Linked DNA regions of Drosophila melanogaster. The protein of the gene in region 2 interacts with the protein of the main gene of each other region in a pairwise test. Each region holds a gene or a part of one and is shown on either strand. Other genes may lie near its edges.

Region 1 (4,031 bases), on a different chromosome or scaffold from region 2:
TCCATTCACAAAACGAAGTGAGAAATAAAGAACACATTCATGTGAACTGTGAAGCCCTTAACAATCGTTTGTGAGAATATTAACTTACTAGAATACATTAACTTTTACGAAAATGGCAAACAATTATTTGAATACTAAATTATCGTATGTACAAATCGATAACTAACGTAAGTAGTGAAGGAAATTTAATGAAGGGAATGCGCAGAGAACCAAATTTGTAATTGAAACAAAACCATAACTAGGCACCGCACAATAAATAAATAATTTAAATCCGTTAAGGATCTGGGTGGAGTCTTCAAGGAGCTTGTAGGCAAAACCTCGAGGTGCTCCGCCCGGCATAATCTTAAATCAAACCTAAGGGAATTTAGCCAATTTATAGAAAGTAGCACTCGGCAAAATTTTTAGAATCCAATTATCGTCTAAGTCGAAATTTATTGTCTAAACCGATATGCTATCCCCACCCCGTATGTACCGATAAACAAAAAACTACACAAAGCATTTTTGCGCTTAATTAAACAGTTTCTTTCAATTCAAACCTGTTATTATGTAAACTTTTTATTATTACATTGTATAGACATCGTATCGCATAAGTGTGTATATGTGAGTGTGTGTATGTACTTTTGGATATGGATTAGCTGTTGACTATAAAGAAACCTTAAATGCTATAAACGCAAAGAAAAAAAACCAAAAGTCTTGAAGGCATTTAACGGGGAAACTCAATTTACAGCGTAACTATATACTACGTCTATATAGCCAGCCTCGTATTCTGATTGCATTACATGATCTCCAAGCTGGAGTCACTATTCTTGGTGACCACCTCTGTCTCCGACGAGCCAGACCCGGATCCAGCATCATCGCCCTTCTCGTTGTCGTCCGACCCGCTGTGCCGGTGATGGTGATGCGGTGAGCCGGCCAATTGCCAGGCGGGAATGGATGGCACTGCGATCGGAGCCACAGGGCCGGCGAACTGTTTTCGGTTCAAAAGCAGGCCCTTAATGGCATCCAGATCGCTACGGAAGTTACTAAATTCGCGGTTCAGCTGCTGGGCGTGTTCCCTTTGCTGTGTGGTGATCAGATCCCTGACCGCCAAAATCTCCTTGTTGAGGTCGTTGGTGCGGGTCTCTACCTTCTTGTCTATGTCGTCCAGGACTTCATCGACCGCCTTCTTCTTGGACTTGCCGAACAGGTAGGGCGCAATGTATTGCTGAAATTATACGGGTTTTAGAAGTTATTAGCAATCATGGACTTTGGACTGGTGGACCACTTAAAACTTATTTATGCGTCCTAACACTTTTACAAAATGTGTTAAATACTAAGTAAATTCAACGTCGTCTGGTAAAAGTGTCATCAAATATATGTGTAATGTATCTAAGCCTTAGACAAGATGGCGATCTTTAAATTCGCACTCGAGTTGGTGGAGTAAATATAATAAATCTTTTTAAAAGACCCCGAAATAGAGATCCCACTGCATCTCACCTTCCAGAAGATGTAGACTGCGTAGACGACTCCGCTGAACAGGGCTGCCGAATGGATGATTTCCCTGATCCGGCCCAAGACAGTCGGCTGCGGCTGCAGCGCGTGCAATTGGGATCCAATGCTAATGACGGTGTTCGGATTCGGATTGGGCTTGTTGGGGTCTTGGGTGAAAACGCCGGCCCGTTCACAGGCCAGCTGAATTTCGTGAGCGGTGAGACCTTTGGACCGTAGGAACTGCTGCTTCTGGATAAGTGTCGTGTGGCGCACCTTGGTGTTTTGTAGAAAACTGACTGCAGTGGTTATCTGCGGCGAATAGTCGGATTATAGATTAGGCAAACTTGAAGGGGTTGAACAAATATTACCAGCGATTCTCGAGGCAATTGCTCATCTACGCCGGCCTCGACATCGTTCTGCACCGAGGTAGCCGTCGCCATGACGGTGGTGTCCCCAGTGTCCGTGTTGTTGCTGGACATCTGTATATCGACTCTTAATTCAATCTTGCCTAGCTAATACACACGAAAACGGAGTGAATCCGAATTCACGAGCAATTCGATTACAAAGTGCACAAAAACAAAAGTGTGACCAAAGACTTTGCTGCTCTCGAAATTACTAATGCATTAGCGTTTCTAGGGTTATTATGTATAACGTTAAGGTAATTTGTAACGTAATAAAGATTTGAACTTGGAAAAATGTTTTTACCGAAAAATTTGGTAAGAAATGTTTCTATTATAAAGAACATAGTACCTGGGCTAAAATTTTAAATGCATAATATACCCAATAAAAATATACTGCAGTATAAAGAATCAGGAAACTTGAATTAAGATGCCGAGACTAAACAAGCAAATCTTTACATTGAAGAACATTAAAAGGGGCTATGAAAGGTTGGTGGCAGATATGCCAAATGTGGTTCTTACAAATTGTGGGTCCTTAATTATTAGTTTCTTTTTCTATGACGTGTAAGCACCAATGTGGTAAAATTTGAAAGTGTAATGGCGATAAGCTCGTGACACTGGTATTTGGTATTTATTTTTGTACCAATTTTATTAATCCAAAGCGTTTAATCAACGCTCTCCGTGCTTGCATTCATATATGTATTCATTTTGCGTCACCTTCTATTTTGTGTTGCATGAAAGCACTAACGCCTTGTTCAAAACGCCAGAACACCACAACTGCACCGATTTGATTACCTGTAGACCGAAACACCTCATTATTTTTATTATTTGGAGGAACAGACAATATTTTCCGGATATAATGGACACTCTGAAGGGCATGCTGAAGGCGTACGAGGCGTGGGTGGGCAAAAACCCCGACGTGGTGGGGGATTTTGAGACCACAGCCAAGTGGGTATCCTACTTTATAGCAGGTAAAGTGAACTCCTTGCTTACATAGAGCCTACAGACTCATCTCATTGGCCGGCTTCCAGGTCGCATTTCCTCATCAAATGTGGTCAGTGAGCTGGTATATACACTGTCAAACATGCTGGTGTTCTACAACGACCGGATCATCGAAAAGGCACGCAATTCCGAGGAGAATTCGGTGATCCACCTGCAATCGAAACTTTGCTACCGTCTAAAGGTCACGTTGACGACGCTCGAATATAGCGAGGTTTTCATCGAGATATCAGCCCGTCGGCTTTTCGGTCAATCCGGCAAGTGGCTGGTGATAGCGCTAATACAGGCCTTCAAGGCAGCGGGCCGTTTCTTTATCTTGAAACACTCAACCTCGGATATAATCACCTCACCGCCCATCGCCGCACTGAATCGAAGGGCCAAACAGAGGAAGAATTCGGGGGATGGTGTGGCCTCCTCCACGAACGATTTATTGCAGTCCCAGCACTCCATTACCTTCCAATTGAAGCGATCTGGCCGTGTGATTCGTAAAGTGGAGGGTGCTCCTCCCCTGCAATACCGCGACTTCAAGCTTCATATAGACAACAATGAAGCGGCGAAGACGCAAATTCCGAGGAAACTCCTGCAAGCAGAATACCTGTATATATCGAAGCCACTAATCCACCTGGTCGCCATGGGGCTGTTCGGCCGGAGAAGTTGGAAGCAATATATGGTAGCATTATCCATTGATTTGTATAGCATTCACCTCTACCGCCAGCATCGCGACCTAATGTCCAAGCAACAAAAACTGGAGCTGAGCAGGCGATGCATAAACATCATGTACTTCCTGGTCCGATCGCCGTTCTATGACAGCTTCACCAAATCCAGACTGGAGCGGATCCTCGACTTTGTGGCCACAAGTGTGCCCATTGCTAAGGTGGTTGCCAAACCCCTTAAAGATTACATTCCCACGTGGCAAAGCACTTACTTCTATCTGTGGTCCACTTAGGCATTTCAGGTAGAGCGTTAGTATTCCCCTAGGCTAAGTTTTAAAGTTACAGGTGTGGACGCATTCGGAGTGTTGAGGGTGGGTTGAGTTTTGGTCCTTGAAAAGTTGTTTGCACAATAAAACGATGGAGTAATTTTCGATATGTTTATAGCCAACTTTCATATTCCTTGAATTGACCCACCCACATGGCATTGCCGCTCTTGAGGTGAAAAATGATT
Region 2 (4,461 bases):
TACATACCTGAACAACGCTTTCGATTCATCACTATCTTCATCGTTGTCTTTTCGTTATGCGTGGCTTTGGTTATTCCCTCCGTGGAGCTTATAATTGGCTTGGTGGGTTCCACCATTGGCGTAGCCATTTGTATAATGTTCCCCGCATCCAGTTTTCGAAAAATCATCAAAAAGGAATCTATGGAACGTACGCTTGCCCAGTTTGTATTCGTAAGTGGATTTCTATTGATGATCCTGGGAACGTATGCGAACCTAAGTGCAATTGATGAAAAGAGCTCCGGCCCGGAGTTTGATATGGTTGCCATAGGCACCCCTCTGTATCCCGATGGCCAAGTGCCAGCTGTCGTCGGCGAGCTACCAAAACATTTGGCCAAAGAATCCATTGACAGTGAAAAGAACCTATTGTTAAAGAAACTGGATGTCCAAAATCCAGACAAATTAAAACAAACCGTTGAGGATAAAGTTGTTGATATGCCGGAGGTAGTGCAATCAGCTTCCTCCGACAACCCACCGTTGCCACCACTGCCCATCGATGAAGTCCATGTAGTTCCCATAGATAGTAAAAATTCTGAAACGGATATTAAAAAACTACCAGTAGAAGCCGTAGAAGCAAACCCACCAGAAGCCAAACCACTCGATGTCAACCTTACCGTGGATAAGCCCAAGAATAATCCGCCTGCTGTTGCTGCATCGCTTCCAGATAAACCAAAAATTGGATCGAGCTTGTTATCAGCAAGCAATACAATTGATGGAGCGGCCATCAAGAAGGAGGAGGACGTGGCTGCCGAAGAGCAAAAGGAAAGTAAGGCTAATGCAGATGAGCTACTCAAAACCCAAAAGGAATTAAAGGAGACCAAAAAACTATTGGCGAAAACCGTTGGGGAGCTAAACGAAGAGTTGGCCAAGAAAAATTCATTTAATCAGCCACCTTTGGAGTTACAGAAAGATGAGCCTTTGGATACTGGTGCGAAATTTGCCGAGGAACCGAAGAAGGCTGAAATTAAGCTTAAGGAGTCGCAGCCAGTTGCGGACGAAAAGAAGGAGAGAAGGCGGCAGGCATCGTTAATGGACATACTCACGGAAAATACACATTTGCGCGATGAAAAGGAGGCCCATGCCGGCGTTTTTGAACCTCTATCCTACAAAACCGGAGAGTTACTCAGGAATTCGACCGTAGATAAAGAAGCGCTTATCAAACGATTGCCCATTCCACTAGCCCTAATGGTGAATTCTACTCAGCCGAAATCATCGAATGACTCGGAGATCAAGAAACCCAACCTTGAAGACAATGTAGAGGCCATTCGCCGGGAGCTGCTCAATCTGCGAAGTTCGGCGGATGCGACAGAGCAGCCACCGGCAAGGGTTAAACGTGAGGCCTCAAACGACGAGAACTGCCTACGCCAGCCCAAGCTGGATGAAGTGAATAATAATGTGGCTGCAGCTGCCTTGAGCTTGAACATGGAAAGTATTGGACGCGATCTCAAATCCATCAAAGATGATGACGTCGAGATAGTTACTGAAAACGAATCCTACCAAGCGAGTCCAAATGGAACCCAAACTTCGCTGCAGACGTAATGCGGATAGTTTACAACTATGCAAAGCTTTATGTATATAACCTTTACATGTATTTATTTAGTTTATAAGAAACTGTAGACTAGAAGTATATACAAATTATATACAGTTCATATGACTTGGGAATATTGTGTCAAATTTCTCGTGGAGTTGCTAGCAAAATTGTATGTGAAGCCCAGGTTTTTTGTAATTCCATCAAAATGTCCATCGTCCTTGATGTTATCCAACAAGTTGTGTTGCAGAAAGCTTACGATCTAACATGCGAGGCAGCCATTTTAGCCTTGAGAAAATGTGGCAAAGTGAGTAGGTGTAATATTTTTAAAATAATATTTATATCGCAATGGTTAATTTCTATTTAAGCTGAAAATAGAGGATGGTAAATCGAAAGCAAAGCGTGAAAAGCCTCTACCTCCGGTCAAGCCTATTTCCCAGGAAGCGGTTTCACCAATGAAAGCTCCAACGATTCCCGAGGCTAACACCATTCCAAAATATACGGGACGGGACATGCCTCGAAAGAACTTTGGCTCCATCGATCCCCCCCAATGCTCCTGCATGCGTGTGTGCCGAGATAGTTACTTCTCTTAGACGAAAAAGAACGCTTAAAAACAATTGCAACTTTAATAGAATAGGAATAGCAAAATTTCAAGGGACCTCAGGCATCGAATCTCATTCCATCTTGTATCCGTACAATTATCAAACGTAACACTAATAACAGTTTTTGGTAGCAACTAACAGGTTTGAATATGAGTATTTACGGTGGTTTAGGCCACGTCTGCTCCCAAGGAGTGCAGATCGTACAGGACTTCCAAAATGGCAGCAACACTCCAGGCCTGCGTGCGACAGGAGTCACCGCAGTAGGAGCCATTATCGTTGGTCAACTCGGGCAATCCGCGCCAATGGGATGTCTGTAGCTCTCGGAGATGGGCCCGTAGTATGGCCCAGGTCTCGGCAATGGTCTCGTCCAAATGGCCACACTTTTTGGCGAAGATCAGGCGCGCCCGCAGGTAAAAACCGATGGGCCATACCCACTCCGGCCCCTGGTGGTAGTTTGCGCCATGGGCTACAGTGCAATCGGTGGAGTCATTTGAGTTGTCATAGTTGGCCCTATAGTTCCAGTCCTCGGGATCCATCGTCTTCATGCCCAGCGGTCCCAGAAGATACTTTTTGGCGCGCTCCAGTGCACGCCAGGCATTCTGAGGATTGCACAGGTCGGGAGCCACGGTCAAGGTGATGGGGAAGTTGCATCGCAGCTGGTAGTCCGTCCAACTCTGGGTGGCTCCATAGCTGTCCTTGTAGATAAGCTTCTTGTTGGCCACCGAGCAGGTTTCCGATTCGGATACAAAGAAATACTTGTCAAAGTTGTTCTTGATGCGATCCGCCCACTCCTTGTAGCTCCACTTGGTCACTTCGCCCGATGGACCCTTTCGTTCCACGCCGGTGTACGGGATAACCTCCTTTTCGGCTAGGCTTTGCATAAACCGGAGTACGGCATACTGGAGGCCAACGAGCTCCACGGCTGATCCGTCGCGCGGCGTACTTGGACGTCCCTTGTTTCCGGCCTTCTGTGAGGATCCCATTTTGTCCATCCAAGTGCCGCAGTTGAAGTTATTGCCTCCGAATACAAAGCCAGTCTCCGGGTGAATTCCGATCTGATTGTTAAAGCCCTGGTCCACCATGTGCGCATCGATCTCATAGCCTGCATTGCGCTCCCTATACTGCAAGCCCTGAAAATGCACCTGCAGTGCCTCCTGCATCACGTCGAAGAGAAGTTGGTCGAAGGCACCTGGAGCATGGGCATCGGCATCGTCGTACGGAAATATGCGGGACACCTTGTCCTTCAGGATCTCGGCACCCTTGGGGGCATCCTCCACATACTGCTTGATGCAGTACATCCACCACCAGATAGCATCGCGGCAGTTGAATCTCGGCTTGCTGCCGCTGTCCAAAAGATTCGGAATGAGTCCGTGTCGAAGGGTCTGACCAAATCCAATGATGATGAAGCGAGCCTCGTTGTAACGGCCAGTGAGGAACATGGAGCCACGCAGAGCGATGAAGGTATCACGGCCCCAGCACCGCATATAGCCTACATAAATGGTTGAATATTCCATTATTCCGTTTCGATTGTTAAATATAATAGATAAACTCACCCGTTGAGAAATGCGGCAGACCAGCAGATAGAGTCACACATTGCTTTGGAGGCTTGGGTGGACTTAGAGCAGGACTGAATCCCGGCAGATTGGCCGACTTGCAAACGGAGAGGAACTGCAACGTGGACAGGGCCAGGGATTGTGGGAAACTGTGGCCATTCTTAATGAAGCTGTAAAAATTAAAGACTTAATAAAAACTCCATGAATGCAGTCGGCTCTAATGGACATACTCTGGCATTAGTTCGTTGACCTGGTTGATGAGCACATTGTAAACCCCGCTGACAATGGCATCAAAGTAGCAGGGTATGAGGTAGCGTGGAATATTCTTCAGTGGCTCAAAGGTAGCTTTGAACCAGGCGGAGAGTGGTTTCAGGTCTTCATAACTAGTTAGGCGATCAGAAATGTAATCTGAAAAGAATTATGTTGTAAAGTAACTACATAAATCTCTATCTTTACAAACTTACCCATCATCCAGTTTCCGTCGCGCAGATTGTTACAAAGCGGATGTCCCAAGTCATTTTTAGGCGAAATCTCCGTCAACAGGGAAATGAATCCTTGCAATCCGCAGTAAACGATCTTTCCAAAGTTGGGAATGTCGTAGGCGGTGCCACCTTTGCCAAGATCCCTCTCCTCATCATCGCAGCTGAAAAGGGCACCACTAAGTGCCACCAGATCCAACTTGGAGACGATAGCCTGCAGCTGGGAATACTCCTCGCCAGATCCAATACGCAGGGCAGCCGAG
Region 3 (7,816 bases), on a different chromosome or scaffold from region 2:
CATGCTGAAAGTCCCTCCACTTCCTCCAGCAGCAGCCAAAGCGTTTTAAGGTCCATCCACTGGCCGCCACAGACAAGGGAAGTGGCCGTTGCCCCACTCACTCCGCCAGCACTCTCCCCGCCCGGCACGCCAGCACTTCCGGCTCCTCTGACCCCGGCAACCTCGTCGCCGCATAACAACCATGAACAAAATCAGCCAAGTAATATCAGTGCAGACGCAAGCCACCACACCAGTCCAAGTTCAAGGAGCAACCCCAGTCCCAGCCTAAGTAGGAGCAGAAGCCAGAGTGCGGAGTTGGAGCCAGTGCCGCCATTGGTTGAGCTTGACACCAGGGAGACGCTCTGAGCTGATCGCCGCTGCGGCCGATAATGTTTTGTACTTGAAATACTCCTGTGGTCTGTTAGCTGTTAGTCTCCGCGCTTAGTTATATTTTGCAGACCGTGCTGCTCTTGTTATCTAGTCCTTCCCAGTGCCCCAATGCTTGGTGGTTCCAAAACCTGTGCATTGCATATTGGTTTTGCGTTATTACCTTCGTTATATACTATATGTATATACATATATATATATATAGATATATGTTTTTATAATTTTATTGTGATCCAAAAATAATTCCTTATGTTTGCAAGGCAGCAGAGTTATTTATATAAGCAATATAACTGAATTCTATGCACACACACACCCACCCACACACACACCACACACACACACCACACACACACACACATGTTTAACGCGAACTCGAATGCGATTTCCGAGCAGCTGAACCAAAATTGTATACGATATCCGATCGCATAGTATAAATCTGTACTGTCTAGCCTTATGTCCGGTCCATGTCCTTGTCCAAATCAATCCATTTGATCCGCAACTCGTAGTCTTTAGGCTCATCGAGCGGCCCAAAAATTAGGCTCTATTTATTAGGCAAATTTTGTCATAGTTTGTATTGCACGCAAATAAAAGCTAACCAAAAAAATGAAAACACCGCTTATTGTTTCACTTGCAAACCAATCGGTTTCTTATAAAATTTTTAAAGTCCCTCACACATTTCAACCACGAATTGTGCCGTGTGTGACCACTGTGCACCACACATGCCACCCACTGTTGCCCCAACATCCACAACACGCTCCACTGTTTTGAAATTCCGATCAGAGGCGACCCACGGCCGTGCTGCAGCGGCAGCCATAAAAGTCGAATCAGAACGTTAAACCAGTTGCGACGCACAGTGGGCGTTGGGAAGAGAGAGAGGGACGCCGATCCAGCGAGCGAATCAGAAAGAGATGGCGAAATGCAGTGCTAGCCAAACGGGAATTTGTGGGTTCTTGAAGAAAACTAAAAAAAAAAGAAAATATTACTCATACGCCGCGTTGTCTACATGATTTAATAATATATATTGCATATTTTGTACGGATGGTTTTAATAAAATGTAAATGTTTTATTGAGAAATCTAGACAACTGTATTTATTTAATAGTTTTACTTTTATTTTGGAATGAACACAATCACACAATACGGTCAATCTGGCCCACTGTGCCGATTATAACAGTTAGCGGCGCAGGCGCAACAAACTAGTTTGCCCCACAAGCAGCGGGGAGTGGCAACTAAGGGGGGTGGGGGGTGGTTCTATTTAGGGCGTTGCAGGGGCGTCGTCAAAGGGCGCGCGCAACTAAATAGCCAACTGACTAACTAACTAACTGGGAGAGCGCGAATGTGAGTGTAAGTCCGAGTGGGAGTGGGAGAGCGAGCGTGAGTGCGCTAGTGTGGAGCGGAGCGGCGTGCGGTTAACCGTTAGCCTGCAGCGGCGGCAAGTTCAGCTCGCAGTTCAGTTCAGTCGACCAGCGGCCGCCGTGGACAAAGCAACGTAACGCCAAAGCAATCGCAGCGCAGCTCATGGATATATAGCTACAGTTAACTACCAGATACTAAACTACACACATTTCACCACATACCCAAATATACCCACCACACGCGGCATATATCTCTATATATATATTTGAGAATTAGAGGCGTGGGGGTTTAGGGGGTGGGGTGGTAACTCGCGCGAGGGCGTCACACGCGTTCATATACATCAGATATAGATATATAGGGTAGCTGCCGATCGACCAGCGAACATATAGAAAGCGGTGGTTATTTTTCTCATCTTATTTTATTGTGACAAAAATCGCGACAAGTGTTTAAAAATAGTTGTTGTGCCCAGCTAATAAAGTAAACTTGCCCGCCAAACTGAAACTGAAACTGAAACTGAAACTAAGCCAAGCCAAACTATAAACAGCAACAATATGGTCGAGACCGTTGTCAATATCGAGCGCACAACAACAACAACGACGAACGGACCGCCAGGTGGAGCGAACCCGACCGTTGGCAGCGGTGGCGGCTTCTGGAGCGCCATTCGCCTCAACATCGACTATTTCCGCACCATACCGGGCATCATCAAAATTGTGGAGTTTGTGAGTACATACAACTAGCTGAGATATATCACTACTATATTTTTATAATTCATTATAAAACAAATGAAAATCTAATACTTAATATTGCAACATATGATATTTCGAAACTATTGAATACGATCCACTTGAGTAGAAGTCTTTTAAAAACTGAAACCAAAAACTGGGCCAAATTTCCAAACATATCAAAATTATGTACATTACATGTTTCTAAACTCTTAGATTTAAAATATGCATAAATGTCGGTTTAAATAGAACTTAGGAATGCGATTATGTTGAAAAAGTACCATAATGTACATACATTATTTTGTGGAATGCTAAATTCAGACATAAGTTTCCGAATTTGGCTGTTATCGTATTTCCTCGAAACTGATAGAGCCTTCGAAACATAAAGTTTCAGAGGGAAATATTAAAATATACGTTGGATAATTGTTGTAGAGAAAAGTTAGAATTCCTCATAGCACTCTTATCGTCATAAATTGAACGGTTTTATCTAGAGTTTGCCTTCCGCCACCATTCTTTATCGAGATATCTCGAGACTTAAGAAACCCTAGAGCCTCGATGTGTACTCAATTACACAAATATGTATACAATATGCCCGACAACAAGTGTGTTGTGCACTTGCCCCTTTTGTGTGTACATATGTCAGGATCTCATTAGACTTACGACGGATAAGATAGGGGTAGACAAGTTGTAGGAACTGCAAACATGTGAGCTCCATGGCCATGTGGTCAACTCATAGCCCTCTTCTTGTATTCCACAGACGTTAAACACTTAACGCATTTGGCCTGGTATTCGAAGCTATGTATGATCTATCTTTTTTCCCACAAATCCGCAGCAAAATGAAGTTAAAGTGTGGGCGATGCAATCGGTATGCGACGCCAACACAAGGTACTCGCAATTATATGAGTGGGCACTGGGGTAACTCAACTACCGCTCGGATGGATCACCTGCTCAGGTGTAGAAAGTTTTCAGGCAAAAATTTCTCTATTCTCAATGGGCCAACGCTTGGTGGGCACAAGGTCAAGGGATAACGACAAGTGCTTGGGACCCACATGAAAAATGCATTATTAAGCGCTCGTCAGTTGTTACGGAGAAAATCAATAGCGGATAAATGGGAGGAGTGCTGGGTGCTTCGATGATATGATTACCGTCACAATAAGCTGTCGTTTATTAACTTATATATATTGATTTTCTGTTCTGAAAATCGGCTATTATCAGGCGACTAAGCTAGTTTAGCTGACGGCTGACGAAGTAATTTGCGGATGTTCTGGTAGGACTTATTTCCAATTCATATACTAATCTGACCAAAAAAGGAAAGCAAATACTTGTCATTCAAATATGCTTTGATTTCACCAATGGCTAGTTAATTTTCTTTTTCGGTTAGCGGTGTGCCTGTCGATTGGGATATTTTTGTGGCAACTAATCTTATCGGTACCCTTAAGCGATAGTCTGCTGATAGTCGTCTCAGCGCAGTGTGAAATATGTAAAAGTGCTCCACTTGAGAGTTGCCACAAAAACAGGGCCGTAATTGCAGCTGCTCGTTTCCCAAATGCCAATTGATAGGTATTAAGCCCGTTAAATAAATAATTCAAATTGGGCCAAATGGCGGGAAACTTGACCACTTTCATGGCTATCTATTTTAAGACTTTTGTTTCTTGAGCTTAACTAAATTATATTAGATTATTGGTACTATAGTTCGAATTTGACTGCAGTTTTGACTGTTTTCACCGATTGTGACTCATTTCGAACAATTCTGCGAATATATTGAGTGCCATAGCTAATCGCTCGTTACTCATACGCACCGTTATCCGAACAAAGTGGACGATAATGTGGCGACCACCTGTTTGCGAGCGGAGAGGAGCAGACCGACGATATTTTCGGTAGCCATGCTCCTGCTGATAAGCCAATCGATTCCTGACACCTGACTGCCGATCGTTAATTTGCCCACGGACCATTACACATACTCATCCGCCCAGTGGTCCCAAATCATACCAACAACAACAACAACAACAACAAAGCCCCCGAAATATAACGCTTCTTTCGTATCTTATCGTTGGCAATTAGCATTTTGGACCCAGCATTGCCTCAATTTACTTACCATACATATTCACGCGATGCCCCAAGCATATATGCATTCCATGGCCAAGTGTGCTCTATATACATATATACGTACATACACATCGGAATATCTACGAGTATATGCAAATTCGGAAAGAGAACGATTTATTATTAAGTTTTGTTGGTCGCGGTCCCTGCCGTTCGAGAATATTTTTTTTATAATAGCCTAATTACGTAAGACGTGTATTTTGGAAGCTGCCGACGGCATTCTTATTGTTTGGCATTGTAGCATTGTCGTGGATTTTAATTTTAATACGAATGTTTTAGCCAAAAGCGGAAATTATGACACAAATACGGGGTGTCATTCAAGAAATTGTTAACCACAAAAATGCGGGGGAGGCGAAGAGATCTGGGGAATTCGAGCCGAAAGTCACTTTAGACAGATGCTGGCGTTTGTTGGCGGTTTGTTGATGAAAATGCGATCGATCGTTGTGGCATCATGTACAGTGCATGCCATAAACGTAGGCTGTTTGGCTTGTAGCCGAAAGCAGTTAACTTAAACTATCGGAAATATAAATTGTATATTGCTACTATCTTATGGGCGCACTTTTTCTGAAACCTCAAATCTTATCCCTTTTCAGTTATAAGTTTCAGTTAGCGTCTTGCCTTACAGCTGCGAAACGGACTGCACTAAGTGCACATGGCTATGCAAATACGTGTGTGTTTGCAAACTGTGTGCTTGGGTACATTTTAGGTAATTGACGCTGACTAAGTGTACGGCGCTCAGGAAAGTGAGCTCATCTTTGAAGCTCCGTCTTGGCCCTGTTAACAGATTGTTAGCCAACAAAAGGGAGGGCATACATATGTATGTATACAATTCAAGGGCATTGATCCTTCTATTAGATAATCCAGTTATGGTTGTCCATTAACTTCGAACTATATATATATTTGTACCACCACAATTGGAATATTTGTTAAACATTGCGAGGATATTAGCTTACAGGTATTGTTTAAACTTTAAGCTTTCGAAGAAAGAACATTATTTATACATATGTAGTTGGAAGTTTGTAATCTAACGATCTTGTTGTTTATGTGCGACCACTAGAATTTCTGTGGCTTCCATTGAACTTCAGACGAGGCAGACGCGGCTAGGAACCGTAGACCGTATAATCGGAGGCCAAGAACTCGATCCATTTCAGTGGCGTTTCGCGTCATTGAATTTCGCTCGAAAAGTAAATAATTATGTTGCTGCCCCGATCGATATACCCAGATGCACCCAACTCTCTACGCAGTTTTTCATGCTCCACAAGGCAATTTGATCGTTGCCATGGAACTAAAGATTATGGTTATATGTATATGGTTATAAGAACTTTCCAACCGTGCACATAAGAACTGATTAACACATACAAATGTGTATATATATGCCAATCTTGTCGTTATATATACCTTATGTATGCATACGCAGAAGTAAAAATAAAAATAAAAAGCCCGCCATAAATTATGCTTAGAAAAGATAAAATTCGTATAATTCCCAGACGAATTTCTCTCTGGCTCTTTTATTTTTGAAAAGTGACGCACAACATTTGTGGATCACAAGTGCGAGGCTAAAAAAAAAAGTATATAAGTCAAATGAAGAATACGAACACCATTTGGAAAATGCATGAATCCAAGATCCAAGATCAACAAATCTCAACAAATCGCTGACAGTTCAATCAACCTTTGATATGCGGCTGCTGTGCAGTTAATTGTTTACCAGATAGCAAATAAGAAACACACACAAAAAAAAAAACAAAGGGGACAACAACAAGATGTTGCTATCAACAGGTCGCTTTTGGCCTGGGCTACAACTTTCAGCTTTCACTTTTCGTGTACCTTTTGTTTTAGCCAAAAACACAATGCTCAAGTCGACTGACTGCGCACACCTGTTTGATTTCTTATTTTGTTGCTGTGTCGCCAAAAGCTTATTGCCATTTAATTGCCTAAAACAACCACGAATGTGTGTCATCATCGGCACCTGTCATCCAGCTTTATGATCTTAGTGTTCCTAACTCACGAAATCGCCCTGCGAATTTGCTTGAAATGCGATAAGGTTCTCGAAAATGACTTACAGATAGTTCAGTATACATATATTAACAAGTTATTGGTAATATATACTGAGTCATTCATAGATACGGGATACTGTTACCTCAGTTTGTTTGAAATATGACATAAACTTAAGTTAAGTTGAGTAAAATGGAGTACCTAATTGTTTCTGAGCCATTTTACTACAAGCACATTTCCAAATAAATCTGAGCTACATATGTATCTATGTACATATGTATCTATGTATCTGTGCAGTGGCATTCTTTGAATTCACCGCTTAATTAGCTGGAGAACAAGGCGACATTCTGAGCACAGCCTCTAATTTTTCATGGCGTGCATTCAATTGAAGGTGACATCACGACATGCTCACTCCAGATTCGAAATCACGACCTTGAAGAGGCGCCTCTCAATTGGAGGAAGATCACGATCTGGGTGACTATACATATATGTATTACAACTAATAATATAAGATGCTATGCAATCTATACATCTCAAATATGCATTCAACTTTACCCTAAATAGACATTGCATAAAACTGCACAATTACGATTTAATGCGACAGATGGCGCTTGAATCTTAAAACTACTCGTATATTATTGCTTCTACTGCGACCTTGTACACTTACACATTTACCCATCTTTTTATACACACCAGGTGCTGGGCATCATCTGCATGGCCCTGGCAGCTCCTCCACTGGCCTCGGCCACCTCGTTCTTCATGTTCGTCATCGTCATCTCGTTCATCATCAACATTCTGCTGATCGCCGCCTATTTCCTGGGCATTCGCGAGGCCCTCAACGTGGCCGTCAACTGGATATTCTCGGTGAGTGACAAATGGCAACTAACTGCTCTGGATCATTAGTATGAACTAACCCACCCAACTGCTACTTTGTTTTGCCCAACAGGAGCTGATCACCACCGCTGTGCTGACGCTGCTGTACTTCATCGGATTCATCGTCCAGCTGGCCAGATGGTCGGATGCCACGGGCAAGGGTTCCGGTTCGAATACCGCCGCCGGTGTCTTTGGACTCTTCAATTTCCTGGCCTACGCGGCGGGCACGTACTTCCTGTTCCTGGCCCACAGGTCCGGGGCTACCCACTAAGTGCAGCCAACTCAGTGACTGGATCTTAGTCTAGAGTTATTTCTAATTGTTTACAGAATAAGTGCAGATCGAGTACTTGTAATTTTGCCTCTTTTTTTTGTACTTTTGTTTTTTGTTGTTAATTAACGTATGCAG

Evidence for each region. The genes of interacting proteins can lie anywhere in the genome.
Region 1: the proteins of CG33655 (region 2) and Pex14 interact in a two-hybrid assay, tested with the Drosophila melanogaster proteins (one large-scale study listed by BioGRID).
Region 3: the proteins of CG33655 (region 2) and CG15211 interact in a two-hybrid assay, tested with the Drosophila melanogaster proteins (one large-scale study listed by BioGRID).

Annotation. Positions count from the first base shown.
Region 1 is NT_037436.4:20,776,851-20,780,881, reverse strand, and holds Pex14 (peroxin 14), read right to left. Parts: upstream 2,084-4,031; 5' UTR 1,950-2,083; coding exon 1,839-1,949; intron 1,780-1,838; coding exon 1,477-1,779; intron 1,205-1,476; coding exon 776-1,204; 3' UTR 504-775; downstream 1-503. Other genes in the region: Pex16 (peroxin 16), read left to right, coding at 2,728-2,839, 2,900-3,813.
Region 2 is NT_033778.4:21,317,275-21,321,735, reverse strand, and holds CG33655 (uncharacterized protein), read left to right. Parts: upstream 1-1,718; 5' UTR 1,719-1,772; coding exon 1,773-1,871; coding exon of another isoform or gene 1,872-1,875; intron 1,876-1,932; coding exon 1,933-2,157; 3' UTR 2,158-2,333; coding exon of another isoform or gene 2,334-3,655; 3' UTR 3,656-3,719; coding exon of another isoform or gene 3,720-3,889; 3' UTR 3,890-3,943; downstream 3,944-4,461. Other genes in the region: CG30394 (uncharacterized protein), read left to right, coding at 1-1,575; CG9485 (uncharacterized protein), read right to left, coding at 2,334-3,655, 3,720-3,889, 3,950-4,127, 4,184-4,461.
Region 3 is NC_004354.4:10,770,728-10,778,543, forward strand, and holds the start of CG15211 (uncharacterized protein), read left to right. Parts: upstream 1-1,813; 5' UTR 1,814-1,899; intron 1,900-2,040; exon of another isoform or gene 2,041-2,070; 5' UTR 2,071-2,271; coding exon 2,272-2,439; intron 2,440-7,233; coding exon 7,234-7,401; intron 7,402-7,483; coding exon 7,484-7,681; 3' UTR 7,682-7,816. Other genes in the region: BTBD9 (BTB (POZ) domain containing 9), read left to right, coding at 1-345.